Macaca fascicularis: one gene and its partners. The protein of the gene in region 4 interacts with the protein of the main gene of each other region in a pairwise test. Links are inferred from orthologs where the notes say so. Each region holds a gene or a part of one and is shown on either strand. Other genes may lie near its edges.

Region 1 (3,958 bases), on a different chromosome or scaffold from region 4:
TTCCTGGCCCCCCAGCCCTCCTGGTTTTACCCCCGAGGCCACGTCCAAAGCCCCCAGCGCCCCACCCCTGCCAGCCTCCCCCTTGAGGGCCCGGTGGCCTAACTGGGTCGGCAGGGTCCGAGGAAGACCAGGGTCAGCAGCGGCGCAGTCCGTTCCCCGACCCCGTCACCTGTGACCCACCTGTTCCCCGTGAGGTCCCGCCCCAGCGCCCCCCTCCCGGGCTCCTCCCTCTTTTCTCAGCCCGGGAGGCGCGGATAGCCGGGTTGGGCGTAACCGTGGGGCGAGGCCCGCGGGTCTTTCTGATTTCGGAGAGCGGGGTGGGCGCTGAGGCAACCGCGGTCAGGACCCGGCCGGGAGTCGGGGCTGCTCCCTGGACCCCGTCTGCGCCGAAACCCCGCATGGCTTCGGACCTGCGCCCGCGCCTAACCCCGGCCGCCGGAGACGCAGTGTGGACCCCAAGCCAGTGCGCGGAAGACACCGTCCTACCCTCGGCGTGGGCGCAACGCGAGTCCGTGTGTCCCGGCGCGCGGGAAGCTGGTCCGAGGCCGGAGGGAACGCTCGCGGCGTGGCTGCCTCCCACCCGGCCACTTCGGCCCCGCGCCCCACCCCGACGGCGCAGGCGACCCGGGGACGCCCAGGACGCGGAGACGCAAACAACTCGGGACCAAGGTTCGTGGGAGCAGCGGCCGCGCGTCGCGATGACCGTCCCGGGAGCCCGTGCTCAAGGCGTCCCCGTGAGGTTTGGGCTCCACAGTCCCCGGCGGCTCTGCCCCCGCCCTGGCCACAGTGGGGACAGCCCGGCTTGGCGGGGACGCGCCAGTCCCGCAGCCGAAGCGGAGTGTCTACCCCGCCGCGCGAGGCAGTGGCTCCGGCCCTTCCAGCTCCGGATGGGGTCAGGGAGCCGCCCGCGCCCGCATGCGGAGGCTGCTGCGATGGCCCCGGGAGTGAGTCCCCCAGAGGAGCCGGAGTAGGGCTGGAAGCGGACGAGTGCCCCGAGAGGCCCCTCCCGACATTGCCGTCCCCGCGCGCCGCTCCCCGAGCCCTCCGCGTCTTTCCCGGAAAGCGTCCCTCGGTTCCTGCGCGACCGCACAGCCTGGACGCAGCGCACGCGGGCACCGGCTGAGTCCGCCCTGACTCTCCCAGCCTGAAGCCTGCTCGCCCTCGGGTGTCCGGGCTGGGCACAGGCGCCAGCGTCCCCCTGGAGAGGAGAGGTCGCCCGGCACCGCCCAGGGCAGGCCCGAGTGGGAGCGGGACCCTCCTACCTTCCAGCAGCCTCGGCCCGCGGGGTGGGGGTTGGGAGAGATGAAAGGAGGTGACCGATGCCGAACCGTCCCCTCTCCATTAACCAGGGCCCGCAGCCCCGCCCCTGCCCCAGACACCGAGGAGCCGGGGAGGTGTGAACGGTCTCCTTTGTGTCTCTGAATCGAAGGCAATTAGGCGCTGCTTATCCGGGCGTTAGCCGTGTATGCAAACCGGGCTCCCGCCCCCTCCTCCCGGGCTTATAAACGCCGCCGCCCGGCGAGGCCGGAGGTGGATCCTGCGCCTGGCCAGCCCCGCCCGGCCTTCCCTCCGGCCCACCTGGCCGCCATGCGCCTCTCCTCCTCCCCACCTCGTGGCCAGCAGCAGCCCTCCAGCTTTGGCTCTGTGGACTGGCTCTCCCAGAGCAGCTGCTCAGGGTTGACCCCCTCGCCCAGGCCTGCCGACGTCTCCCCGGGGAGCCTCCCTGGCCCGGGCCAGATATCCGGCGCCCGGGAGCCCCCTCAGGCCATCAGCATCAAGGAGGCCGCCACGTCCTCAGATCTGCCTGCGCCGGAGAGGACCGTGGCTGGTAGGTCCGGGCCGGGGGTCCTTCCCAGGTGGAGATGGGAGTGGGGGAGAGGCCAGGAGCCCGGCGGCTGAACTCCCCGCGGTACGGGGCGGACGAGGACAGGGCCGGGGACGTGTCCATGAGGGCCGGCGGAGGCCTTGCCTGCGCCTCACTGGAGCGCAGCTTCCCTCGAAACCAAAGCCTTGACGGGGATTTTCTCTCCTTGAGCCCTCGGTGGGCTCCTCTGCCTCCCTTGGCACCCCGTTCCTCAGCTGTGTCCCACCGCGGCCTGGTGCCGAGGGACCGTCCAAGGGGTCCCTGTCCGCACCTCTCTGCCCTGATTCCGGGCGCTCACTGAAACACAGCGCGGGCGTGGGCACCTGTGCCCCTAGTGTTCCAGCCCCGCAACCATCGAGACCCAGTTCCAGGGGTCCGACGATTTGCCAAGCCCCCTCTGCCCCCAGCAAAGCCAGTGCCTGCTCAGCATCTAGGCTCAAGCCCCTTCCAGGCCACCTGGAGCACAGCTGTCTTTTAAAGAGCCTGCAGGTTTGCTGTAGGGCGGCGGTGACCCGGTGCCTGCAGAAACTCTGAAGTTCGGTCTGTGGCCCGGAGATGCTCTGTTGTCTGCTGAGAACAAAGGTTCTCCGCGTTTGTGTTTTAGTCTTTGTGACATCGTTGCCGCTTTTAGGTTTAAGGTAGTACTTGGTCAAAAGTGGGGTTAACATAAGTTTTCATTTTTAAAAATTTGACTGATCCTCATGGAGTAACTTTGTACTTCAGGGAAATGAAAATTTAAATATGTTCTTCCCAGCTAGCTATCCTGCCCCACCCCAAAAAAGTCAACCATTCCTGTCCCCCAACCCCCTTCCTGATCCCAGTCCTACAGCCCTCCCCGCCACAAGGCATTTGCTTTTCGGGTCTCCCATGTGCTTTCAGGCTAACGTGAAGACAGATTTTGTAAAATACGCTTCCTTCCGCAGAAACTCCAGTGAGCATTTGGGTCAGACTTGAGTTAAATGTTGAGCTCGTTTCGCCACGTTGGCCTCCTTCCTGGGACCCAGACACACACCACCTTGTGGGGTTGTTTAGTGCCAGCCCCCATTCCTTAACTTAGAAATTAGAAAACAGACTTGACCAAGGTGGGCCTGGGGATTAACTGAGCCGGGCTCTGCTGGCTGAGGAGCCGGAGCCCAGGACAGGGACCGAGTTCCCTGGGTGGGTCCCCAGGCCTTTGCATGTAATGGACTCTACCTTACCTGCCTGGAAGTCTGCAGAAAGGGTATCCTGGGAACCGGCTTCGGAAGGGAAGTGTGGGATGGGGCCGAACTGAGTGAGCTGAGCCAGCCGAGCGGAGGGCAGGCCCAAGCTGCTGGTAGCATTCTCCCTCCCCTGAGTCACCTCTCTCAGCCCCTTTCCGCACGCACATGACCTGGAGGCTGCGGCAGGGCTGCTGGTCACTGTCAGGTGAGAAGATCTGCCCTGCCCAGCCCCCAACATGCTGTCTTCACCTGTTACCTGTGGGCGGGGCTTGCCCCATGGGGTGGCAGGCTCAGCCAAATGCTCTCACCCTCTATGCCAGGGTTGAGTAAGGAGCCAAATACCTTGCGGGGCCCCCGTGTCCGCACAGCCTTCACCACGGACCAGGTCCGCACCTTGGAGGGCGTCTTCCAGCACCACCAGTACCTGAGCCCTCTTGAGCGGAAGAGGCTGGCCAGGGAGATGCAGCTCTCAGAGGTCCAGGTGAGGCGGGCCGGGCTGAGGTGGGCAAGGGTGGGCCGGTGGCCTAGTCTCACCCCTGCTCTGATTTTGGTTTTCCTGCAGATAAAAACCTGGTTTCAGAATCGCCGGATGAAACACAAACGGCAAATGCAAGAAGTCCCGCCGAACAGCCCCTTCCTGGGGTCTCTCCACGTGCCCCCAGCTTTCCACTCACCGTCTTCTGGCCTTGCCAATGGCCTGCAGCTGCTGTGCCCTTGGGCACCCCTGCCTGGGCCCCAGGCTCTGATGCTGCCCCCGGGCTCCTTCTGGGGTCTCTGCCAAGTGGAACAGGAGGCCCTGGCCTGTACGGGGGCTTCCTGCTGCAGGCAACCTCTGGCGCACCACCCCCCAACCACAGGAAGTGGCCTGCCTGCACCGGGACCAGCCCTGTCC
Region 2 (4,293 bases), on a different chromosome or scaffold from region 4:
CTTAAATCAGTATAAAGAATGTCTGCTGGGGGGTGGGGAGAAACAGTTAAGCAAATACTGTAGTTAGAAACTTACTGGTGCAGGACAGGAGCAGCAGGCTGGGACGGAGAATTCCTGGGAGTAAGAAGTGGGGCAGAACCCACTGATACATGGAGTTCCACATTTATACATTTGTAGCAGTCAAATCTAAGAGTTTAACACAGTGGTTCCAGACAGTAATTCCATCAGTTTGGGAGGCCAAAAGCCGGAGGATCACTTGAGGCCAGGAGTTCGAGATCAGCCTGGGCAACAAAGTGAGACCCTCATTTTTCTAAAAAAAACAAAAAAAAAAAAACAAAAAAAACAGAGGCTTTAACGATCGAGTATTGGAAAAGCTTTCTAAGGCCCGGGAAAAATGGAAGTTTCCTTAATAATAATGTTAGCTTCCATGTATTGTAAACCTAAACGAAGCAAGAATGAATACTGGGTGCTGTACATAGTTCTATCAACCTACAATCTCGAAAACGCTAGGAGACACATTCAGCTGCTCCCATTTAACGGATGAGGAAACAAGTACGCAATCCTGAAGTTGGTGCAAAGCCCAGGCCCCCTTTCTTCTTCAAGTGTGCTTCCAGCCTCTGAAATTCCTCCGTGTGGACCCCGAGCTCTGCCTGCAATGAGGAATATTCACTTTGCCAACAAATATTTATTGAGTGCCTACTATACACCCGGTAGCTCGTTTAAATAGCCGTGGGATTAAAAAGATAAATAGGGTAAGTTTGTGGTTTTTTCTTCCAGGAAGGAGCTTTCTGAAGGGTGAGGGAGAGGCCAAGTAAACAATCCCAGAACAGTCGGGTGAGAGTTGGGAGAGGAGTCGGGGGCCGCGGGACGCCCAGGCAGCGAAGCGGGGAAGGCTCCGGGCGCGTCGCAGGACCCGCGCTGGAGATGGGTTTGAAGCCCTGTCCTGAAAAAGCCGGCCCGGAGGGGGCTGTCCCCGGTGTCCCTCGAGTTCTCATCCTGTCATTCAAACAGCAGGGGAAGAACCGGGTCTGGCTCGGGAAGGGTGGGCTTAGGGCCAGGGGTGCAAATCCCATGGTAAAAGCCGGCAAACAAAAGTCGCACACATCCCAGCTCCCGGTCCTGGCCCCGGCGGGGCAGGGTCCCCGAAGTCCCGGGGCGCGCAGACGCCGGGGCCCCCGGGGGCCGAGGGAACTGCAGTACCCGACCTCCCCTGCCCTCGGCCTCCAGGGCCCTCGCCCTCCGACCAGCCGCCGAGTCTGGGGCTGGGGTCGCCGCTTCCGCCCGCGGCCCGCGGCCCCTCCCCGGCGCGCGCCATCCGGCCGCCGGCCCCTCCTCCCGCGGGGGGCTCCGTCCCGCGCCCCGTCCCTCCGGGCTGCAGCCGGCAGCCCACGTCCAGGGAGGGCGGAGGGAGGAGGAGAGGCGCGGAGAGGAGGGAGGGGAGAGGGGAGGGAGGAAGACGAGAGAAAGGGAGCTGCTTCCATCCCGGACTTCCCAGAGCCTGCCTGGAGCGCGCACTCAGCGGCTCTCGGGTCCCAGCGTCCCAGCCGCCGCCCGCGCCTCTCCGCCCCGCTCCTCCTCCTCTTCCTCCTCCTCCTCTTCCTCCTCCTCCTCTTCCTCCTCCTCCTCTCTAGGCACCCCCGTCCCCTCCTTCCAGCGGCTGCAGCCCCCAGCCCCAACTCTCTGCGCTTACTCCTGGGACGCGCGTCCTCGCCCCATCCTTTGCTTCCTTCCTTCCTTCTTCCTTCCTCCCCTGGCTCCCGCCCTCCCTATCCAGGTCGCCCTCCCGGGGCCCGATTGTCTCGGTGCCCCGCTCTCGGCCCGCGCCCTGCCCCGTCTCTCCCTCGTACTTCCTGAGTCGCCCGCCGCTGCCGTCGCAGTCTCGCCGCGGGAGCCCCAGCCCGACAGCCACTGCCCCGGCTCCAGCTCCAGCCCCGCAGCCCGCGGCGCCCGCCCGAGGGAGCCCCGGCGCCCGGGGAAGGCTACAGTGGGCGAGCGCGCCCTCGCCCAGCCCCGCGCCCCAGCCCTGCCCGGCCCGGCGAGGAAGGACCGGGAAGATGAACAACGGCGGCAAAGCCGAGAAGGAGAACACCCCGAGCGAGGCCAACCTTCAGGAGGAGGAGGTACTGGGCGGCTCGGTGCAGTGGCGGGGGCGATCCGGGACCCAGTGCGGGCGGCCGGCGGGGCGCGGGCGCGGGCCCGGGGCGCGGCGGTGGAAGGTTTAGGCATGGCCCGTGCCCGGGACGCAGCCCCGCAGTGTGGCCCGGGGAGGGTGGATCTCGGGAAAGTGTGTTTTTGTGTCCACGCGCGTCTGCGGGCCCCAAATTGCGTAACTCTAAGGACTTTTCGGAGACTTTTGTAAGTATAATGCTCAGCTTTGTTTGCCCGGGATTTAAAAAGTGGAACCGAGAGCTGACTCCTGGGTGACCTCAGATATCGGGACTCGGAGGGTCAGGACTTAGGGCTGGGGCTGGAAATTGTGTGTGGATTCGGGGTAGCGGGGGGGCAGTTTAAGGAAGAAACTCGGGGAAAAGTTTTCATTAAAAGATACCTCTGTTCCCTGCCCCCTCCCTTTCCGTGTTAAAAGTTCTTGGTGAAATATCTTTCTAGCCGAGGGTTTTTGGATTAATAGATAACTCATCAGCCACATTCTTCTCTGCTGAGTCAAAGACCCCGAACCTGGGCGGTGAACGCTTGCGAATTTAGGGCCGTGCAGATGAGGGGAGCAGAATAAGAGGGTTAAAAACGCAGCAATTCACCAAATGCTCATCGAGGATACTTTTATAGGACTTTGACTTCTGAGCACGCATTTTAGGTGGTGCGTCCTCACGATGAAAGTTTTGTGACTGCGGAGCGTTCCTTCGGTGGAAACAAAATTGAGTAGATGTGGTCAGAAGGGGAGTCGGACTCAGGAACAAACGTTTCAGAATTCAGTAGTAGGGTATTTGTGGTATCCTACCAAATGACTGTTTCTGCAGGTACATTATCTGGAGTCCAAGAAATTACTTCTGGCGTACTTTTTAATATCACACACAGTTGAGTTCTTAACATTCTAGAGGAACTTGAGAGTGTGTGCAGATGCAGGAAAGTGCATGTCTCAATATGACCCGAAAAGATTCACACAGGTATTGCATCCTGATCTAGGTGAACACAGAAGGTAAACGGATTCTAAAGCGTTAGGACGTTGAGATCATTGTTGAGACACTGTTGTGTGCAAACTTCAATTCTGATAGTGAAACCAAAATTGCAGAGGAATTCATTAATGCATACAAGTTCTCTGCACATTGTCCACTTGGAAAATGGGAACTATTTAGGTGGAGAAGGTAGAGGAGCGAGACTATGCCAAACAGTGCAAAATCGGAGATTTTACTCTCTTACCCAGTTGTATGGTAGTGAAAACCTAGATGAGTTGCAGTCAGTCAAAAATTGCTTTCTCACCCGAGGACATTTTCTATTTTATTATAAAAGACTATTTGAAGAGTTGTTTACATGCATGTTTTCTAATTACAAGTGTAGGAATGCTACTGGCGTTTCTTTTTTCAAAGCAATGGAGAGTTGAATGGTATGTTCTAACTTTTTTTCTTGAACTTTACTGGCTGCTTTGCTATTTATTTTCCCTACCACTTAAAAAAATTTAAAAATAATGCTTTTTTAAATTTGCTTTTTTAGGAATTACTATAGTTAACTAATTCACTTACCATATCAAAATAATTATCGCTTCAGAAATCTTCCTATTTCAGCTAAATGTGCAATCTGTTTGCTTCTCAGGGTTAGAATATTATATCAAACCATCTTTATTTACCCAGTTGAGAAAACTTTTTTTTTTTTTCCTTTTGGTGGGTAGCAAAAGAGGTTCAATGTCCTAAAAATCATACCCACTTAAAATTAAGTATAGAAAAGGCACATTTTTCCGCTTGACCCATCTTAACAGCTGCCAGCACCGAGGGATTGCCTGCCCTGTTCCTGGACGCTCCTCTGTCCTTGCGAGGTTGTGTGTAATAATTGCTGTATAATCGCGGACCATTGCAGTATGGTTGCTGCCTCTTACTTGTCCTGTTACCTGACAGTGTTCTTTTTCAGGTAGGAATGGCATGAGGCTCTAGAAAGTATCGATATTTTTAGCAAAACACTTGTTATGTAAAAAATAAGGGGACTGGTAGGAAGATTTCAGAACCTAAGTTGTCCAAGAGATGTCGTGTACAAAACAGATAAGACTGTGAAGAGAGGGGGTTTATAATGTCAGAAATTCAGGAAAAGAAACTAAGGTGGCCTGAATGATCCGGGTAATTTTGCCTT
Region 3 (4,061 bases), on a different chromosome or scaffold from region 4:
ATTTGTTTACAGTGTCAAAGTTACCTATTTGCTAAATTAAAAAAATCATTCTTCATGAAATTCTCTTATTGAAAATAAGATGTACTAATTTGTTTGCAAGTTTAAGTAAAAGACAAACCCCATTATATTTCATCGAGGGAAGGATGAAATGAACGGAAGTAAACAGTGCTTTATTTCCAATCTCGAGAAACTAAAGGATACTCCCTGAGAAAAGAAAAACCTTTCACACTCAATTCACTTCACTCTCCTCCAGTCCCTAAGGCTCCTGCTCTAATGTGGGCTCGCTTTGCTTAATTTTTCTCCCTCATCATTTTCTAACATACGATATAATTTACTTATTATGTCCATTATCCGTCTCCACTATTATGTAATGCACTAGGGCAGGAGTTTTGCTTTTTTCACGGCAGCATCTAAAGTACTGACAGTACACAGCAGGTGCTCAATGAATATCTGTTGAACGACTAAAAGTGAATCATTTCTTCAGGAGAGACCTGCTCACGATATGCCAAATAGGCTGAAGGCAAAAGAATACAGTATAACAGCAGTCTACTATATATATATACACATGTGTATATGTGTGTATATATATATATTCTATATATATATACACATGTGTATATGTGTGTATATATATATATTCTATATATATATACACATGTGTATATGTGTATATATATATATATTTGAGACGGAGTCTCGCTCGTCACCAGGCTGGAGTGCAGTGGCGTGATTTCAGCTCACTGCAACCTCTGCCTCCCCGGTTCAAGAGATTCTCCTGCGTCAGCCTCCCGAGTAGCTGAGACTACAGGCGTGCACTAATTTTTTTGTATTTTTAGTAGACACAGGGTTTCACCATGTTGGACAGGATGGTCTCGATCTCCTGACCTCGTGATCCGCTCACCTCAGCCTCCCAACGTGTTGGGATTACAGGCGTGAGCCACCACACCAGGCCTACGAAATATTTTAATGTTAGCAATAGCAAGGCTTAGGTAGAGGCAACATCTAAGTTCATTATTAACAATTAGTGATGCATTGAGTTAAACAACAAAGAAAGCCTCAAATTCTAACTAGCAATAAATTCCGCACGTGTTACGGAAGCACCTAGAAGGGGACTGTTGTCGGGTCTGAAGTCTCCTCCGCTTGTTAAAACTTCCAGCACTAGAGAGTTTATTAAACTTCTCCTCCAAAGCAATGTGCCCTCACTGGCTCCTCCCCTTAAGTCAACCTCGAGATCTAGCATCTATTTTGCAAAGGAAGACAGCAGGAACGGGCGGGCTAACCGTCGCAGTCACTGCCTCGGCGCTCCTCCCCCTCCAAGGCCAGCAAGTTGCGGCACTGGGGGAAATGGCCGCGGCGACAACTTCCTCGAGTTCTCTCGGGTCATCGTGAACTTGGGCACCAAAACGAGGATCCACCCCCTCCCCACCAAAGTGCGGGAGGGAAAAGAAGGCTAGCCAGCGAGAAATTTTGCCCCGCAAATCCGCCAGCAGCAGTGGCGGGAACCCTCAACGGCACAGACCCCGCCGCTGGCCTCGTGCGCAGCTGGTCCCCCCCCTCGCGCGGCGCTCCCTGATTGGCTGCTGGCGGCGGGACGGGGCGGGGCGGGACGGCACGTTGCCGCTGCGCCTCGGGCCTGTGTGGGCCGTCTTTCTTCACTTCCCCAAGTCCGCCCTGACTGGCTCGGGTGCACAGCCAGTGCTACAGTGTCCGGATCCCACCTGGGCCACAGGCGGGCCCCCGCGAGGTCTCTCAGACCTTCCGGTCCTCGCTGACCAGTCGGGGAGTGGAGGCGTCGACCGCCCTGACAACTCCTCGCTCTGGGCCGATGGGTCGAAGTTCGGCCGGAGGGAGCGTCAAAGACGCTGCCTAGCCCAATTTCGGCGGGAAAGCAGTTTATCTGCTCGGACTCCGCTGGGTGCCCGGCAGCCCGCCGCCTCCCGAAACATCTGCGCCTGAGGTCCCCTGGCCCGTCTACACCCAGTCCAGGCCCCGTGGCGGCGCCTTCCTGACCCCCATGACACAGCCAGACGAGGTCTGCGGGCGGGCGGCTCCTGGCAGCGGTCGATGGGGCACCTGGCCACGTTTCTTCCTAACCAGATAGCGAGCGTTTGGGGTCTTCACCTTGCCCCTCCAGGCGCTCAGGGACCGGCTCCACGCTGCTCCTTCTCCCCACTACCCCGCGCCCTGGGGCCCTGATCGCCGTACTCACCTGCCCGGACTCGGTTTCCATCTTCCTCTCTGCTCTTCAGAGACGCGGGTAGGGAAGAGAAGCCTAAAGTTTGAAACCACCTTCACGCCAAGGCAGCAGCGCTGCTTGTCCTGCCTGGGACTCTCGCCCCCTGGCGGCGAGGGCGGCGGTGGCAGCTGCAGGGGAGCAGGCTCAGACCCGGGCCCTGAACCTGCCACCTGGCGGGTGGGGAGAAGCAGACGGCGTCGCCTCGGGTGGCAGGCGGCGGTGCGGGCGGGCGCCGCAAGCTGGAGAGGGGCGCGGGCGGGCGAGTTTCGGCTGCGGCTCTGGGACTCCGAGCCGGGGCGTCTCAGGGGCAGAGCGCACGGCACAGCGGGGCAGGCGTGGGGCGTGCGGAGCGAGGGCTCTGTTCTGGGACCCCTCTCGCCTGCTCTCAGACGGCTGGGGAAGAGAGAGCGAGCGGTCGGGCAAAGCTCCATGCACGGCACGCCTTCCCGTCTCCTCCACTTGAGAAGAGTCGGCCTCTGGGACTGGTGGGTTTCGAGAGGTTGAGGTGACCTTAAGCCTTTACTGGGCTGGAAGAAGCCGATTGACGGGCGACTTCCGAAGACTGGTGTAATGCGAAGAAGGTTCTAGAGTCAAACTCTGACTCTCGGGGCCTGACGCGCCAAACTCGGGGGCTCCTGAGAAGCCGCGGACGCCTCTCTGCACCTGTTGCCGCCGTCACTCATCCCGCCAGGCGGGCGGGGCCGCGCGGGTGGCTTCGTCAGGACCTGCCGCTCAGCCTAGTCGGGCTCCGGTGCCCGCCCCGGACCGTGCCCCAAGCGGGTCCCGGCCCCGCTGAGCACCTCCAGCAGTGGCACAGCCTCTGGAATGGTCCCGGACGAAGCCACCCGCGCGGTAGGGGGCGACTTAGCGGCTCCAGCCTCCAACAGCCTTGTGATCGCCTTTGGAAGAAGATTGCATTAAAAAAAAATTAATGATTAATTAACTAATTATTTTTATTTTTGTTTTTGAGACGGAGTCTCGCACTGTCGCCCAGGCTGGAGTGCAGTGGCGCGATCTCGGCTCACTGCAGCCTCCACCTCCCAGATTGAAGCGGTTCTCCTTGTCTCAGCCTCCCGAGTAGCTGGGATTACAGGTGCCTGCTACCACACCCGGCTAATTTTTGTATTTTTAGTAGAGAAGGGGTTTCACCAGGCTTGAAATCCTGACTTCAAGTGATCTGCCTGTCTTGGCCTCTCAAAGTGTTGGGATTACAGGCGTGAGCCACCCTGCCCGTCCAGTTAACTATTTAGACACGAAGGCTCACTCTGTCGCCCAGGCTGGAGTGCAGTGGCGCGATCTCACGCTCACAGCATTCTCGACCTACTGGGCTCAAGCGATCCTCCCACCTCAGCCTTCTGAGTAGCTGGGACCACAGGCAGGCCCACGCCACCATGCCTAGCTGAAAGAAGACTGCTTTGGAAAGAATACATATTTCTAGTAGGTAGCTAAAATGATTACAACTGGATAAACTTATAGTAATGATGATTATTATAGCTGCCATTTATCAAGTACTTTGTTTCAGGCACAATGCTTTATGATCAGTATCATTTAATCTTTTCATTCTCACAGCAACCTTTCAGATAGATGCTCCAATTATCGTCATAGCACGTGATGAAGCAGAGATTTGGAGGATAAGTAATTTGGTCAAGATCTAAAGCTGTAGGAGGTTTAACCCTGGGTCTACCCCCAACCCACAGTTCTTGATCTTAACCATTTTGCCATATATTTTTAAAGAATCAGCAGTAACAACTATTAAAAGTTACACCAGTAATAACTACTGTACACACTACTATAAAAGTTTGACTTTGGGTTACTTTGCCTTCAA
Region 4 (4,151 bases):
CAAATTCTTCAAATGTCATGGGGCTGAAATGGAATCTGAAACCAGAGTTATCTGACTCCACCAGCACACTGCCTTTATTTTAAGAATAGCTCATTGTGTTCTATTTTGTTGACAATTAGGATATTGTTTATTCATCTAAGTCAGTGGTTTCCTATCTCTTTTCTCAATAGCAGAAACACACTTTTCAAATTCAGCCCTTCTCAGAACTCCAGTAAGTAAAACTGATAAAAGCTAAACAGCTCTGGCTGAAATGGATTTTGGGGCCCAGCAACCAGCCCACTTGACTCCACGGTACCCCTGAAGCACCTTGAGGTATATGGAGCATAGTGTGAAATCCCAGATTGAAGCCGCCAACAACAACAACAACAACAACAACAACAACAAATCCCAACCTGAAGAAGTACAAGTTAAGGGCAGCCTGATTTGTATAATGCATCTTTCATTTCACTGTCTCCCATCACATCGGATCCTCATTATCAACTCTGAGGTGGACAAGGCAGTGCATATCATCCTCAATTTGCAAATGAGGAAATAAAGGCCAAATGGAGTTAAGCAGCTGGCCAAAGGTGCACCAGTTCAATTTTCAGCCAAGTGCAGACTGGAAGTAGAGTCTGTCTCCATTAACTCCATGTGACCTGGCAAAGAGGGTGCCATCTACTGGAAATTGCTACTGACCCTTGGTCCACGAAGTGGACAATCAGCTCCTTGGCCACTGAGAGCTGAGCACAGCCCTCCTGCCAAGGCCCTGTCCCGGAGCAGATGGCAATGAGCAGGGAAGAAGGGCTCAATGCCACTGAAGGGCCTGACAGCAGGGTTTTGGCTGTAGATAGGCCATTCCTATCTGAGCCATGTCGTGCTGAGCACAGGGCAGGGAGGCAGGACTAGCCAAAGTACCTTCCACCTTCATCTGCAGTAAGTAAATGAGCCCACAGAGGGACAGCAGGTAGTGCAGAGGTGGGTGTCCGTTACACTTTGCATTTCTTCTTAGCTCTTGCTTTGGCATCCCTGAAACCTGAGGCAGCTGATAAATGCCTGAATGGCTCCCCAACTCCAGAGCATCTCTGAACTGAGCTGTAGCATGTGTTGGAGCAGGCAACACTTAATTATCGGTTAGTCTTTAATTAGCTCTTAATTATTAACACTTAATCCATCTGTAAAATGGGGACACTAATACCTGCCTCATAGGGACTCTGGGAGCATTAATTAAGTTTACAGTCCACTTTGAAGATGCAAAATGTGAAATAAGTGCTCAACAGTGGTATTAATAACCACAGCAGATTTACCTTCTTTTCCTAATGAGGTCCCTTTTTCCTCTCTGCTCCTTCCTTTCCTTTCGAATATCCATCCCCAACAATATCTGCCCAACTTTGCCCTGATGGAGAAACACTTAGCTCTGTGTTTCCCAGACACAGGATTTCCCATCCAGGAAACGGGCTATTTACAGCCATCTTCCCGCACTTTAATTTTCTATTATGTCCTCTGAATATGTCAGTGCCTTCCCAGTAAATATTTTGATGTGTGCTCTTGCAGCAGCTTCTGTGGAGGCTGAATGGGACAGCTGCTCCCTGTATTAGGGAATTCCAGATGTGATTTAAAACCATCAGTCTCATCCATGTGAATGCCTAGCCTTTAGGTGGGAGAGGGGAAGGATCTTCTAGTTGCTTCTGGGGAAAGTCACGAGCCATGTAACCCTTAGCCTTGGCTAGGGTGGTTTTTCAAGGACCTCAGATTCACATGCGTTTAGGATGAGAGATGTCTGCTTAGTGGGCTAGTGAAGAGGCAGCCTGGAATATAGCCCTAATCTGGCTCTTCACCCACGAAACATCAGAACCTTGGTCAGCTCTTCTATAACGCTTGGACAAAGGACCATGGAAGGGGCAATATACAGCCTTTAGGGTTTCAGCAGCCTCAAGGGTGGGCCAGAACATTCCCCTAGAAGGTCAGACTTCATCTCCTCCCTCCTCCCTTTCTGCCAACGGAATAGGGGGGTACTCACTCTTCTTGAAAGCTGAGCTCATTGCCTCTTAGAGTTCCAGCCACGGGGACAGACAGCTGCTCCATGGAGGTCCAGGGCTGTGAGGCTTCAGGCAGGCCTTGAACTCTCTTCCAGATTTCATGGCAAGTCTTGTCTAGGCTGTCTTGGGGTGTGTCCTGGTGGATCCAGATGTATCTGGGGAATGGGCCCAGGGCGCAGGGGCGCTTGGCCACCAGGGCCGAGGATGAAGGAAGCCCATTCCCACTTGCCATCCTCCTCCGCTCTTTCTGGAAGCCCCTCTGTCCACCCAGGGCTAGAAGACATCCACCACCACTCCTCATTCACCAGAAAGGGAGATGAGGATGGGTCTTGGCAGAAGTGGGTCAGTTCTGTCTGGCTGTCGCTCCCACAAGGTGGTTAGGTTCAGAGGCCTTCGATTTGTGTGGGAGGGGTGGGTGGAGGACAGTTTTCTTTTGGGGAGGGGAGGGCTTATTTTGATTTGTTTTTATTTCCTCTTTCCTAACTTTTGCCGCCCTCCCCCTCTCCCTCAGAAGAAAATATTTAAAAGTCAACAAAAACCAGTAGCTTAGGAACAGTGGAATGCCCCGGAGCTCAGGAACCAGGCGCCTGGGCGGGCAGAATGACATCTGGGAACAGCTGGAGGGGGAGGGCTGGCTCTCCCCACAGTCCCTGGCACTGCCCCCTTGCGACGCCGCCGTGACACCTTGCGGCGCCTGGGCTCAGCCCATGCTGGCCCGCTAGGACACGCGGAGAACTGGGTGCGGGCCTGACACCATGGTAGGCACCCGGGGGGCGGGGCCCCGCAGGAAACGCTCGCCTGGGCGTTCCCAGGGAGCCCCTCGCAGAGCGAGCGCCAACGGCCCGGTCCCCGCCGCCGGCCCAGTTCTTGCTTTACTCTCGCCCTACCCCACCTGCTCCTGGTCTCCCGCTGCTGCTCTGCCGCCCCGGGAAAGAAGGGACGAGGCGTGTGTGGATGGGCCCACAGCCCTCAGTCCCGGCCCCCAGCAGACCCCTGCCCTGGCCGCGCCGCGCTGCGGGATGGGCACCGGGAAGGGCCCAGCAGCTCAAGAGCGCGCTGACTCGGCAAGGCAGGCTGGGCCGGGCGGCTCCCACCAATTTGCCCTGCCAATGGCTCCCACACCCTCGCAGTCGTCGAGCGGGGGAATTCTTTCTGTGGGTTTCAAACGCAACGGCTCGGTGCGCGGGACGCCCTGGGTTCGGAGCCCAAGACCCGCCGGTGGGGTGGGTGGGGGTGGGGCCCAAAGGACCCCAGAGCGCTTCGGCGGATCAGAAGTCAAAGCCAAACGCGCCGCCGCCCCACTTCACCGCTCCACACAAACCTCAGCTCCTGCCTGGGGGGCCCCCTCATCCTCGAGTTTAATCCTAACTGCCATTTTATGGGGCGCTTGCCCTGTGCCAAGCGCTGGGCTCACATTCAATCCTATCAAAGCTCGTGAAATTAGTACCACTTTTTATTATCGTTCTAAATGGGAGGAAAGCGAATCTCAAAGTCATAAATGATAGTGTCCAAGGCCCACTAAGAAAAGGGGAGCTGAGATTCAGACCCCAGCACTCTAGGCCTGATCTAGCCCTTGAGCACTGAGACTGCTTCAGTAGGTGGGCAGGAGCAGGGGTAGGAGGTCCGAGGTGCTGGGAGAAGGGCTAAGTTAGCTGTTTACTGATCAACAGGCCCCTACCCTCACTGAAGCGGCTTCATTCAACTGGGCACTGACACAGTACCTCCTCTGAGGGAGACTTTCTGGTCCCAAGAGTCAGGGCGTTGTTTCTTTAATAATACTCCTGGAAAGGAAGAGCAAGAGGGTGGAGAAGGAAGAAAGAAGAATGGACACAAATAGAAGAAGATGGCAGTCTATAAATGCAGGGCTGGGTTGAATCCTGACACTTCCCCGCTGTGTGACCCTAAGAACTTTCTGAACTTCTCCTATCCCCATTCATAATTCCCCCAGTACTGATGCAACCCCTCCTTTGTGCCCGATGAGTTGCTGGGCACTGAAGAAGCATAAGGGTGGGCAAAAGTGGCATGGTCCCTGCTCTCATGGAGCCTGTATACTAGTGAGGGGAGATCGATGCAAACTAGCCAAGCGAGTAAAGCAGCAATAATTACAGATGCAATGGGGCTCTGATGGAAAATAAC
Region 5 (4,106 bases), on a different chromosome or scaffold from region 4:
TAAGCCCAAGGCCAATCGGCTTCCTGTTCACCACTTCCTCCTCACTGCTGCCTCCCTCGGTGCTTACACCTCTCTTGTATTCACTTGCTTTTCCCCTACACCCAACTAGAGGCCTTAAGGGCAGGGGCCTTGCCTCATTCGTGTGTATCATCTGCCCGTACCAAGCACCCAGCAGGCCCTTAGCCAGTGCTGGATGGATCACAGACTCAGACCCCCAACCAGGGAAAGCAAGCACCATGCTGCATGAACCCTGCCAAGAGAATGTGTTAAGGAAACAGAAAGGGCCAAACCAATCCAAAGACGTTTGTGGTGGCAATTATTCATCAATTTCTGAACAAATGGACCAGGAAAAAGGTCAAGACTCACTTGGTCAGCAAACGTCTGTCGTCTTTGCAACTCTTCCCCAACCCACCAAACAACGTGGCAGAATATAACTGCTCCTTTTTTTTGAGACAGAGTCTCGCTCTGTCACCAAGGCTGGAGTGCAGTGGTGTGATCTCAGCTTTCTGCAACCTCCACCTCCCAGATTCAAGCGATTCTCCTGCCGCAGCCTCCCAAGTAGCTGGGACTACAGGTGCCTGCCACCACGCCTGACTAATTTTTGTATTTTTAGTAGAGACAGGATTTCATCATTTTGGGCAGGCAGGCAGGCCAGGCAGGTCTCAAACTCCTGGCCTCCAGTGATCTGCCACCTCAGCCTCCCAAAGTGCTGGGATTACAGGCATGAGCACTGCACCCAGCCTGCAACTCCTCCTTTATCTGAACTCTCCTGTTCCCTACTGCTGCAGATGTGGTGAAGGAACCAAGGTCTGGGCCACATACTCCCGGGCTTGAGCCTCACCTTTGCCACTTGCTCCTCTTAGGTTAAAGTCAACTAAGGTTAATAATCTCTAACTGGCAGAGTCACTGAAGAGATTACCTAGAACATACGGGCAATGCCTGCACATAGTAGGCACTCAATAAATGTTCTCTCTTGCCATATCCTTAAGTAAAACAAGAATTAGGGCCAGAGAAGATGGTGAAAATAATGAGATACTGACATCTTGTGTGATAGGAAAGTGCTTCTCAACCAGAGGTAGTTGTGCCTCCCAGGGGACATTTAGCCATGTCGGGAGACATTTTTGATGGTCACAACTGGAGCAAGGGTGGTGCTACTAGCATCTAGTGGGCAGAGGCCAGGGATGCTGCTACACATCCTACAATGCACAGGACAGCCTCCAACCCCCAACAAATAATTACCTGTCCCTAAATATCAAGTGCCAAGGCTGAGAAACCCATAACCCTGTTATAGGATAAGAACTCAGAAGTCCTGACCCCTTTCCTTCCCGTCCATTATTGCTTAAAAAAAAAAAAACTCCTGTCTACTCAAGCATCAAAAGCAGAGCTGAGAGGCAGCCCCATCTTCCTGCCTCTCTCCTTCTTCCCCAAGTACACATACAAACCTGCCAATGCCGGTGGACAGGATGGCAGTGGAGGTCTTCAGTTCCTCATAGAGATCAGCGCCATTCAAGGGGAAAGCTGAGAACTGAGCCAGCAGCACCCGCCTCAGGGCAACCAGGGCCTGCCAAAGGGGCCCAGACTGCTCAGCAACGAATTGCCCATAGAAGCTGGCATCCCAGGGTCTCATTCACCCCACTTCTCAATATCTGAGACCCCTCTGCTCCCTTTGGCGTGGGATAGACTTTTGTTGTTGTTGTTTTAGACAGAGTCTCACTCTGTCGCCCAGACTGGAGTGCAGTAGCATGATCTCGGCTCACTGCAACCTCTGCCTCCTGGGCTCAAACCATTCTCTTTCCTCAGCCTCCCGAGTAGCTGGGATTGTAGGCGCCCGCCACCACACCCAGCTAATTTTTGTATTTTTAGTAGAGACAGGGTTTCACCATGTTGGCCAGGATGGTCTGAAGCTCCTGACTTCTGACTTCAAGTGGCCCGCCCGCCTCGGCCTCCCAAAATGCTGGGATTACAGGCGTGAGCCACCGCGCCCAGCTGGCTTGCGATGGACTTTTAAAGACACTCAGGTTTGGAGTGTGGAGATAGATACGGAGCTCACCTTGTAAGACAAGCCGCATTTCTGAGCTACCTCCTCCAGGTCTGCAGAAACCAGGTCCACCACTGAAAACAAAACACGTATAGCGGATTGGCAGAGAGGCGGGGGCCCTCCCACACTTGGTTCTTCCTCATCTGTCAAATGGGGTGTCAATTCTACCTCTCAGCAGGCCTTCTCAGGAGGCCACTGTGAAATCACAAAGCTGCAAGAGCCGGCGCGGTGCCCTGCACACAATAGGAATCCTCCACCCTGCTTTAGAGCTTGGCTCCCCACGCCCACCATTCCTGAGCCTCTCCAGAAGCGTGGCCCTCTAGGAATGGAGGAGAAGCTCCCTGCAAATATGCCAGGGCAGGGTGCCAGCCCTCGGGGCCTGCCCAGGCTGTGCGCGGCCCGCGCGGCTCTCTGGCACGCGCACACCCGGTCACCTGTCTTGATCCTGCGGCTCCTGAGAAGTTGGATCATCTCCTGGGTGAGGCCAGGGCACAGTCCGACTCTGAGTACGCCCATGTTCCCTGCAGGCTGGAAGAGCCCCAAGGAGGACTGCCAGTCACGTGGGCATTCGCGGGGTCCTCTCCAGACGCCCCTCTTCCACCCCTTCCTAGAGGGGACACAGGCGCGCTGGCTGCAGGAGGAGGAAGGAGGGAGGAGGAGGCGGCACCAAGGGTAGGGCTGGGGGTTATCGGCCCTCCCGGGATCCGCCGGGATTCCCGCTTCCAGAGCCCGCCAGCCCGGTCGGGCCGCGCTGCCGCTTCCGGGTTCCAGGCTGGCGCGCGGCGAGGACCTGGCCTGCAGCGCCATCTGCGGGCCGCGTGGGGCAGAGCCGCTGCGCCCCCTACACCCAGCCCGCGGCGCGCCACTCTCCACCGCCCACGACCCGCTCTGCGCTCAACACGCCACCCACGGCCGCATCCGGCCTCTACTTTCTAACGCAGCACACACACCGGCCTTCTAAAGAGCCTTCTGTGTGCCAATTTCCGTTCCAAACGCTGGGGACAAAATGCGACCCAAGACGACCCGCCTTTACCCCCAGGGAGCTTACCTGTGAGCGAGGGACAGACAATGAAAAGGAATCACAGAAATCACATCATTACAGATTATACGACAGGTGCCAAGAAGCAGCAAAGCACCCAGGGACACCTGCGTCTGTTTTTCAAAAGTTTGTTTTGTTTTGGTTGATACAGGGTCTTGGTCGGCCGCCCAGGCTGGAGTGCCCTGGTGAGATCTCAGTTCATTGCAGCCTCGACCTCCTGGGTTCAAGCGATCCTCTTGTCTCAGCCTCCTGAGTAGCTGGGACTACAGTCAGGCGCCACATTGCCCAGCTAATTTTTGTATTTTTTTTGTAGAGGTTTCACCTCTACAAAATGGGGTTTCACCGTATTGCCCAGGCAGGTCTCGAACTCCTGGGCTCAAACAGTCCTCCTGCGTTCGTCTCCGAAAGTGCAGGGATTACAGGTGTGAGCCACCGTGCCTGGCCTTTATTTATTATTTATTTATTTATTTATTTATTTTTAAGGCAGAAAACCTTAGTTATATAGAACACACACAAAAATACATAATTTGGCTTTTTTTTTTTTTTTTTTGAGACGGAGTCTCGCTCTGTCGCCTAGGCTGGAGTGCAGTGGCCGGATCCCAGCTCACTGCAAGCTCCTCCTCCCGGGTTTACGCCATTCTCCTGCCTCAGCCTCCCGAGTAGTTGGGACTACAGGCGCCCCACCTCAAGCGGCTAGTTTTTTGTATTTTTTTAGTGGAGACGGGGTTTCACCATGTTAGCGAGGATGGTCTCCATCTCCTGACCTCGTGATCCGCCCGTCTTGGCCTCCCAAAGTGCTGGGATTACAGGCTTGAGCCACCGCGCCCGGCATAATTTGGCATTTTTAAATGTTCTTTGCCTCATCCACAGGAAGAAATAAAACTGTACATGGTTATCTCATCACAAACCTGTGAGGGAGGCGCTATTTTTTATCCCTGTTTCACCAATGAAGAAACTGAGGTTCGGTGAGGTTAAGTCACTTGCCCAAGGTCACCCAGCTAGGCAGCACAGGGCTGGACTTCACATCCA
Region 6 (3,500 bases), on a different chromosome or scaffold from region 4:
TTTTTTTTTCCTAACTCACTTCTGGTTCTTACTGCAAGATAACTTGACTATTTTAGACAAGTGTAGGGCTGCTGCATTTCCAGAACACCTCCATCCTATTTCTCATTTAAATCACCTCACCTTCCCCGTGGCCTATTAATGCATACTTGCAAGGCTGCGAAACAACCCAAAGGAGGCAAGATCCAGCGGTTCCCCACTCACGCTCCTTTCTGCTTCCCCAGGTTTCCGCCAGCTGTGGATGCCTTTGACATTATGACCGCAGAGGATTCCACCGCAGCCATGAGCAGTGACTCGGCCGCCGGGTCCTCGGCCAAGGTGCCCGAGGGCGTGGCGGGCGCGCCCAACGAGGCGGCACTGCTGGCGCTGATGGAGCGCACGGGCTACAGCATGGTGCAGGAGAACGGGCAGCGCAAGTACGGCGGCCCACCGCCCGGCTGGGAGGGCCCGCACCCGCAGCGCGGCTGCGAGGTCTTCGTGGGCAAGATCCCGCGCGACGTGTACGAAGACGAACTGGTGCCCGTGTTCGAGGCTGTGGGCCGCATCTACGAGCTGCGCCTCATGATGGACTTCGACGGCAAGAACCGCGGCTACGCCTTCGTCATGTACTGCCACAAGCACGAGGCCAAGCGCGCAGTGCGCGAGCTCAACAACTACGAGATCCGCCCGGGTCGCCTGCTAGGCGTGTGCTGCAGCGTAGACAACTGCCGCCTCTTCATCGGCGGGATCCCCAAGATGAAGAAGCGCGAGGAGATCCTGGAGGAGATCGCCAAGGTCACCGAGGGCGTGCTGGACGTGATCGTCTACGCCAGCGCGGCCGACAAGATGAAGAACCGTGGCTTCGCCTTCGTGGAGTACGAGAGCCACCGCGCGGCTGCCATGGCTCGCCGCAAGCTCATGCCCGGCCGCATCCAGCTGTGGGGCCACCAGATCGCCGTGGACTGGGCCGAGCCCGAGATCGATGTGGACGAGGACGTGATGGAGACGGTGAAGATCCTCTACGTGCGCAACCTCATGATCGAGACCACAGAGGACACCATCAAGAAGAGCTTCGGCCAGTTCAACCCTGGCTGCGTGGAGCGCGTCAAGAAGATCCGCGACTACGCCTTCGTGCACTTCACCAGCCGCGAGGATGCCGTGCACGCCATGAACAACCTCAACGGCACTGAGCTGGAGGGCTCGTGCCTGGAGGTCACGCTGGCCAAGCCCGTGGACAAGGAGCAGTACTCGCGCTACCAGAAGGCAGCCAGGGGTGGCGGTGCGGCCGAGGCGGCGCAGCAGCCCAGCTACGTGTACTCCTGCGACCCCTACACGCTGGCCTACTACGGCTACCCCTACAACGCGCTCATCGGGCCCAACAGGGACTACTTCGTGAAAGGTTAGTGGGGGCTCTTCTCCTGGGTGGGGCCCTCAAGAACTTTGCTTCCTAGGCAGGGGGCACCAGGGATATCGTGGCTGGCATTTGCTGAGCTGGTAGGTGCTGAAGGCCCTCCCACCCTCCTTTTGGGTTTGCATTCTGGGTCTAGTTCTTTGCTGGCACCGAAGGCCATCACTTCTGCAGCATTGATAGAAATACAGGTCGTTCTGGGGTGAGCGGTAAAATCACATGGGTGTGCAAACACTGGCATTCTGCCTTGCCGCGGTCCACCGGGTTAGGGGCTCGTCCACCAATCTCTTGGTGCTTAGGTTAAAACCTGCTTGTGATATTAAATCTTAAGATGTTGGTGGAGTCAATGATTTTTAATTTTGTTTTTTGTCATCATTGGTTAGGATGTAATGAAACGCAGCATTACCTGGAAAATAAGATACATAGGTTCTGGGTCCTGTTCTCTGATTAACTAGCCTGTGACTTTAGTCACTTTAGTCTCCCCTTGGCCTGTTTTCTCAAGCATGAAATGAGGAAGGTGGACTAGCAAATCCCCTTCCAAATCTAACTTTAAAAAAAAATTATTTAATTGTGTGTGTGTGTGTATATATATATATATATATATATATATATATATATATATATATATATTTGGAGACAGGGTCTCACCATGTTGCCCAGGCTGGTCTTGAACCCCTGGGCTCAAGCCATCCTCTAGCCTTAGCCTCCCAAAGTGCTGGGATTACAGGCACAAGACACCGCACCTGGCCCCAGTTTTTTGTGGGGGGGAGTGGGTATTCTATGAATGTTTTTCTTTACTGAAATTGCAGATACAATCCTAGAAACTCACCCTGCAAGTTTGCCTCTTGTACTAAGCAGACATGCTTAGGATGCAAATCTAGGCTGAAATAGAATGTTGGAAGCATCTTTACCAGCCTATTAAAGAGCAAAGGTGTAGCTACCTGCAACTTAGACTGGAGCAGTTAAATGCTGAGAACTGAGGGCTGAGGTCTGCCTCCAGCACCATCACTGTTGGTTGCTCATCATCTTTTGTGTTGTTATTACAAGCAGGCAGCATAAGAGGCCGAGGGCGAGGTGCAGCTGGCAACAGAGCCCCGGGGCCCCGGGGTTCCTACCTCGGGGGATATTCTGCTGGCCGTGGTATATATAGCCGATATCATGAAGGGAAAGGAAAGCAGCAAGAAAAAGGATATGAACTTGTGCCGAATTTGGAAATCCCTACCGTCAACCCAGTTGCCATTAAACCTGGTACAGGTCAGTATAAACCAGATTGAGAATGCACCCATTCAGCATAAACCCCAGCCCTTCTGTTAGAAGTGAATCCAAGCCTTTCTGGGGATCTCACATCTGCACAGGGGTTCCTCTTCTCCCAGGCAGCTAGGGACAAGGCAAAAAGAAAGTGGCCCCCTGGACCTCCTTATCTAGAACTTCAAGGGATGGTGTAGCTTTGACCATGGTCAAATCAAACTTGCCTGAAGTAAGGTTTTCTTTTTTCCTTTTTTTTTTTTTTTTGAGACAGAGTCTCACTCTGTCACCCAGGCTGGAGTGCAGTGGCATGATCTCGGCTCATTGCAAGCTCTGCCTCCCGGGTGCATACTATTCTCCTGCCTCAGCCTCCAGAGTAGCTGGGACTACAGGCGCCCACCACCACGCCCAACTAATTTGTCTATATATATATATATATATATATATATATTTTTTTTTTTTTTTTTTTTTAAGTAGAGATGGGGTTTCACTGTGTTAGCCAGGATGGTCTCGATCTCCTGACCTCATGATCCGCCCATCTCGGCCTCCCAAAGTGCTGGGATTACAGGCGTGAGCCACTGCGCCCAGCCGTGCAGTAAGATTTTCAAAGGGTTGTCACCCATTGTTAGTCTTTTTCTCAGTCTGTGGCTAAGTAGGGAGAGTTGTGGGGGGAAGAAAGGAAGAACATGAGGCTCTCTGTATCTTCTGTCAGGTAAAACGTATCTTTTCCTTACTCAGGCCTATTTCTGCCCCAACCATCTGATGTCAGAGGGTAGAGCTTATTGGCCCATTCTGAGAGTTGTTGGGAAGGGCAGAAAATTCCCCTTCAGAATTCAGCAGCACCTTTTGTCCCTTGTCATGGTCTGAGCAA
Region 7 (3,500 bases), on a different chromosome or scaffold from region 4:
GGAAATGTGGACGTACTGGTTCTGCTGGGCGGGTGGGGGGGACCCCGGGGTGATAAGCCCTGGAGCCCTGCTGAGGTGGTGCTGCTGCTGCTGCTGCTGCTGCTGCTGCTGCTGCTGCTGCTCAGCCTTGTGTCCCGGCGTCTGGCTCAGACTGCCCATGTTGGCCAGCAGAGTGGAATAGGCCTCCAGCTGGGAGCGCTGGGATGGAGTGGTGGCCCCGGCGGCCGAGGCCACCGCACTAGTGACGGGGTTGGCGGCTGGGGGGATCAGCTGTGACGGGATGAAGCTGGCGTAGGTCCCACTGTATTGGGAGGACCCAATGAACTGGAAGGTGTGAGGCAGGTGAGCGTACTGCACGGGGGACACCGGGGTCCCCGGCTGCGGCGTGGCGTACGCGGCGGGCAGCGTGGTGGCCACGGGGACAGACCTGGGAGCGCTGGGCGGGGAGTAGTCCAGCCCTGTGGACAGTGCTTTGTGTAAACCTATTCCCTGTTGTAAACCAAGCTCCACCGAGGTCCCTGCTGGCCCATGCCTCCCGCCCCCGTGGCCCCGGCCACCAGGGTTGCCCGGGAGCCATGCTGTGCCCTCCACCCGGTGGTTGTCGCTGGGCAGGGCAGGGGCCTTCTCCTCGGAGGACCGGCTGGTGGCGGGGATCTCGCGCTTCTTGGGAGGCAGGCATTCGTTGCTCCGCTCTTGGTTGGATTTCATTTTTCGCCGTCCCCCCTCCACGGTGACTGTTTCACTGTCTGGCTGGCTCTGATTTTAGTCTGATAAACGGAAAGTCACATTTGATTTCTGTAGGGGATCCAGGCTCTTCATGAGGAATCATCTCCCCGTGGGTACAATCCGCCAACAGCAGCTCTGGATGCTGGGAAAGGGAAGAGGGCAGTGACAAAGGGAAAAGGAAAGGGAGGAGAAAGGGAAGGAGGGAAAGGACATCAGAACATGAGCACCGGGGAAAGAACATCTTTGGCAAGATTAAGACTAGGCCCTGGACTCAGTGTGAACTCCCCAAACCCAATCCTACCCCAAGCACTGAAGCAGATAAAACACTACCCAGCACTTTGAGAGGCCGAGGCAGGCAGATCACGAGGTCAGGAGATTGAGACCATCCTGGCAAACATGGTGAAACCCCGTCTCTACTAAAAATACAAAAAAAATTTTAGCCAGGTGTAATAGTAGCCTGTAGTCCCAGCTACTTGAGAGGCTGAGGCAGGAGAATCGCTTGAACCCAGGAGGGGGAGGTTGCAGTGAGCCGAGATTGCACCATTGTACTCCACCCTGGGCAAAAAGAGTGAGACTCTGTCTCTAAAACCAAACCCAAACCAAAACAAATCAAAACAAAACAAAACAAAACAAAAAAACACTAGCCATGGCAGCTGCACATCGCAAAGGAAGATTATGAAGACACTGGGCAAGTGAACATTCTAACACACACATTTTTTAATGGAGTTAACAACTCCCCTAAGATGTTCTCAATATCCTCTCTCCTTTGTTTTTTTTCTCCTTTTCTTTTCAGAGGGTAGATGATGCAGTTCTTAAATTTCCTTTTCAGAAATGTTGGTTCCATTTCTCACCTCTCCTTCGCCTGGCTGGAAAATAAAATGAAGCCTTTGGAAAGCATGACACCAGCTGGACCCTGCCCTCAGAGCCAGGCATTGAGAAAAAGCAGGTTAGCACTGAAAGTCCAGAACAGTCCTTGCACTTGATTTCTGAATCCTCATCTGCCAGAGCCACTACTCTCCAAGATTCCCCTTAGCTCTGGGTCCATACTGGACCTACGATTTCCTCTCCCCGATACACACACACACACACACACACACACACACACACACACACACACACGCCAACTCAGCAGGGGCCGCCAGAAAGAATCCTGTTCTCTGCAAGTTTCAAAAGTATTCCCAGTACAGTCACTAATATGATAACAGAGTGAGACTGTTAAAAACTGAATTTGACTATGGTTAAAAAACACAAATACCATACAAAAATAGGGCTAGTGCACTGAAAGTTTTCTTAATGGGTTACATGCTTGGTTTGTCCGTCTCGCTCTTCCTTTCCAAGTTGACTTTGAAGTTCTCCTTCACACTGTCCCCTTTCTCCTTGGAAAGGAACAACTCACCATTAACACTAGAAACAACAGCTCTTTCAGATAGATCAGATCAGTGTGTTCAAACCTGGACATACAAACGGTGACCCTGAAGCCAGTTCTTATGGACAAGTATCTCAGTCTCTTACTAACCACTGAAGTCTGAGTTACCGCTGCTGTGTGGGCAAACCAATGCCCAACAGACAAGAGGCCGAACATCAGTGGAACTGCCATGAAGCAGGCTAGCAAGCAGCAGATGTAATTGCTTCTACAGGTAGCAGCTGTAGGTATGCACAGCACCACGTGCTGTGATCCTGAGAGCCTGTGGGATTGGGCTTTGGGAACTCCACACCCTTGGGTTTTGGTATCTCACATCCAGACTGTCTTTTCAATGATCTGATTTTCCTTATTTCTTTATTTCTTTGGAGAGATGGGGTTTTGCTGTATTAACCAGGCTAGTCTTGAACTCCTGGCCTCAAGAAATCCTCCTTCCTTGGCCTCCCAAAGTGCTAGGATTCCAGGCGTGAGCCACTGTGTCTAGCCAATAATCTGATTTTAAAACAAACACAATAAAGTAGCAGCCTTCAGCATTCAATCCTTGTCCATGCTGAAGCAACAGTGAAATCCCTATTGAAACACAACCCCCTTTCTCTCCTCTGCCCTCCTAATTTGTAATTTTTTTTGGAGGGGGCAGTGATTTTGTTCTTTTTTCTTTCTTTCTTTCTTTTTTTTGACAAGGTCTTGCTCTGTTGCTCAGGCTGGAATGCAGTGGCGTGATCTCGGCTCGCTGCAACCTGTGCCTCCTGGGCTCAAGTGATCCTCCCACCTCAGCCTCCCAAGTAGCTGGGACTACAGGTGCATGCCACCACACCCGGCTAATTTTTGTACTTTTTGTAGAGGTGGGGTTTTCCCATGTTGGCCAGGCTGGTCTTGAATAGGTCTCAAGTGATCCACCCACCTCAGCCTCCCAGTGCTGGGATTACAGGCGTGAGCCACTGTGCCTGGCTTGGAAGGGGCAATGATTTAATGGCCCTTGTTGGTTTTGCTCCAGCATCATCAATGAACATCACAGTGAAATGACAAATGACACAACAGAAAGTTCTCAATCCTTAATGTTTTGTGAGCAGATATCTAGGAAGGCAGAGGTTTAGAAATTTGGTGTCTCAATATCAAAGGACATTTCAGTAAGAATAGAATTTCTCATACGACAAGAGAGGAGCTTAAAGACTGGGATGGAAATGAAAAATAAGGTTAAAAAAACCTAAAACACTTATGCTGAAGAAATGAAGTGTTGAAGGAGTAATGTCACTTAGGTGGTTTTTTTTTTTTTTTTTTTTTTTTTTTTTTTTTTTTTTTGAGATGGAGTGGAGTCTCACTCTGTCACCCAGGCTTGAGTGCAGTGGCGTGATCT

Evidence for each region.
Region 1: the proteins of C1H1orf94 (region 4) and VENTX interact in binary tests that used the Homo sapiens proteins (3 or more experiments, as listed by UniProt). The two-hybrid records come from large-scale screens. The link is inferred for Macaca fascicularis from reciprocal best matches to the Homo sapiens genes C1orf94 and VENTX.
Region 2: the proteins of C1H1orf94 (region 4) and RBPMS interact in binary tests that used the Homo sapiens proteins (3 or more experiments, as listed by UniProt). The two-hybrid records come from large-scale screens. The link is inferred for Macaca fascicularis from reciprocal best matches to the Homo sapiens genes C1orf94 and RBPMS.
Region 3: the proteins of C1H1orf94 (region 4) and BOLL interact in binary tests that used the Homo sapiens proteins (3 or more experiments, as listed by UniProt). The two-hybrid records come from large-scale screens. The link is inferred for Macaca fascicularis from reciprocal best matches to the Homo sapiens genes C1orf94 and BOLL.
Region 5: the proteins of C1H1orf94 (region 4) and RAD51D interact in binary tests that used the Homo sapiens proteins (3 or more experiments, as listed by UniProt). The two-hybrid records come from large-scale screens. The link is inferred for Macaca fascicularis from reciprocal best matches to the Homo sapiens genes C1orf94 and RAD51D.
Region 6: the proteins of C1H1orf94 (region 4) and RBM47 interact in binary tests that used the Homo sapiens proteins (3 or more experiments, as listed by UniProt). The two-hybrid records come from large-scale screens. The link is inferred for Macaca fascicularis from reciprocal best matches to the Homo sapiens genes C1orf94 and RBM47.
Region 7: the proteins of C1H1orf94 (region 4) and ATXN1 interact in binary tests that used the Homo sapiens proteins (3 or more experiments, as listed by UniProt). The link is inferred for Macaca fascicularis from reciprocal best matches to the Homo sapiens genes C1orf94 and ATXN1.

What each region holds. Positions count from the first base shown.
Region 1 is NC_088383.1:142,308,268-142,312,225, forward strand, and holds the start of VENTX (homeobox protein VENTX), read left to right. Parts: upstream 1-1,158; 5' UTR 1,159-1,587; coding exon 1,588-1,828; intron 1,829-3,074; exon of another isoform or gene 3,075-3,231; coding exon of another isoform or gene 3,232-3,271; intron 3,272-3,386; coding exon 3,387-3,547; intron 3,548-3,628; coding exon 3,629-3,958. UniProt on the Homo sapiens protein: May be involved in ventralization.
Region 2 is NC_088382.1:33,583,765-33,588,057, forward strand, and holds the start of RBPMS (RNA-binding protein with multiple splicing), read left to right. Parts: upstream 1-1,493; 5' UTR 1,494-2,054; coding exon 2,055-2,120; intron 2,121-3,513; exon of another isoform or gene 3,514-3,556; coding exon of another isoform or gene 3,557-3,559; intron 3,560-4,293. Other genes in the region: uncharacterized protein, read right to left, coding at 720-1,481.
Region 3 is NC_088386.1:93,376,512-93,380,572, forward strand, and holds the start of BOLL (protein boule-like), read right to left. Parts: upstream 2,801-4,061; 5' UTR 2,231-2,800; coding exon 2,210-2,230; intron 1-2,209. UniProt on the Homo sapiens protein: Probable RNA-binding protein, which may be required during spermatogenesis. May act by binding to the 3'-UTR of mRNAs and regulating their translation.
Region 4 is NC_088375.1:200,805,403-200,809,553, forward strand, and holds the start of C1H1orf94 (uncharacterized protein C1orf94 homolog), read right to left. Parts: upstream 2,801-4,151; 5' UTR 2,317-2,800; coding exon 1,997-2,316; intron 1-1,996.
Region 5 is NC_088390.1:41,455,792-41,459,897, forward strand, and holds the start of RAD51D (DNA repair protein RAD51 homolog 4), read right to left. Parts: upstream 2,801-4,106; 5' UTR 2,555-2,800; coding exon 2,473-2,554; intron 2,113-2,472; coding exon 2,051-2,112; intron 1,562-2,050; coding exon 1,443-1,561; intron 1-1,442. UniProt on the Homo sapiens protein: Involved in the homologous recombination repair (HRR) pathway of double-stranded DNA breaks arising during DNA replication or induced by DNA-damaging agents. Bind to single-stranded DNA (ssDNA) and has DNA-dependent ATPase activity.
Region 6 is NC_088379.1:39,762,384-39,765,883, reverse strand, and holds part of RBM47 (RNA-binding protein 47), read left to right. Parts: intron 1-221; 5' UTR 222-252; coding exon 253-1,375; intron 1,376-2,431; coding exon 2,432-2,638; intron 2,639-3,500. UniProt on the Homo sapiens protein: Single-stranded RNA-binding protein that functions in a variety of RNA processes, including alternative splicing, RNA stabilization, and RNA editing. Functions as an enzyme-substrate adapter for the cytidine deaminase APOBEC1.
Region 7 is NC_088378.1:156,582,463-156,585,962, reverse strand, and holds part of ATXN1 (ataxin 1), read right to left. Parts: intron 869-3,500; coding exon of another isoform or gene 740-868; 5' UTR 709-739; coding exon 1-708. Other genes in the region: uncharacterized protein, read right to left, coding at 740-868. UniProt on the Homo sapiens protein: Chromatin-binding factor that repress Notch signaling in the absence of Notch intracellular domain by acting as a CBF1 corepressor. Binds to the HEY promoter and might assist, along with NCOR2, RBPJ-mediated repression. Binds RNA in vitro.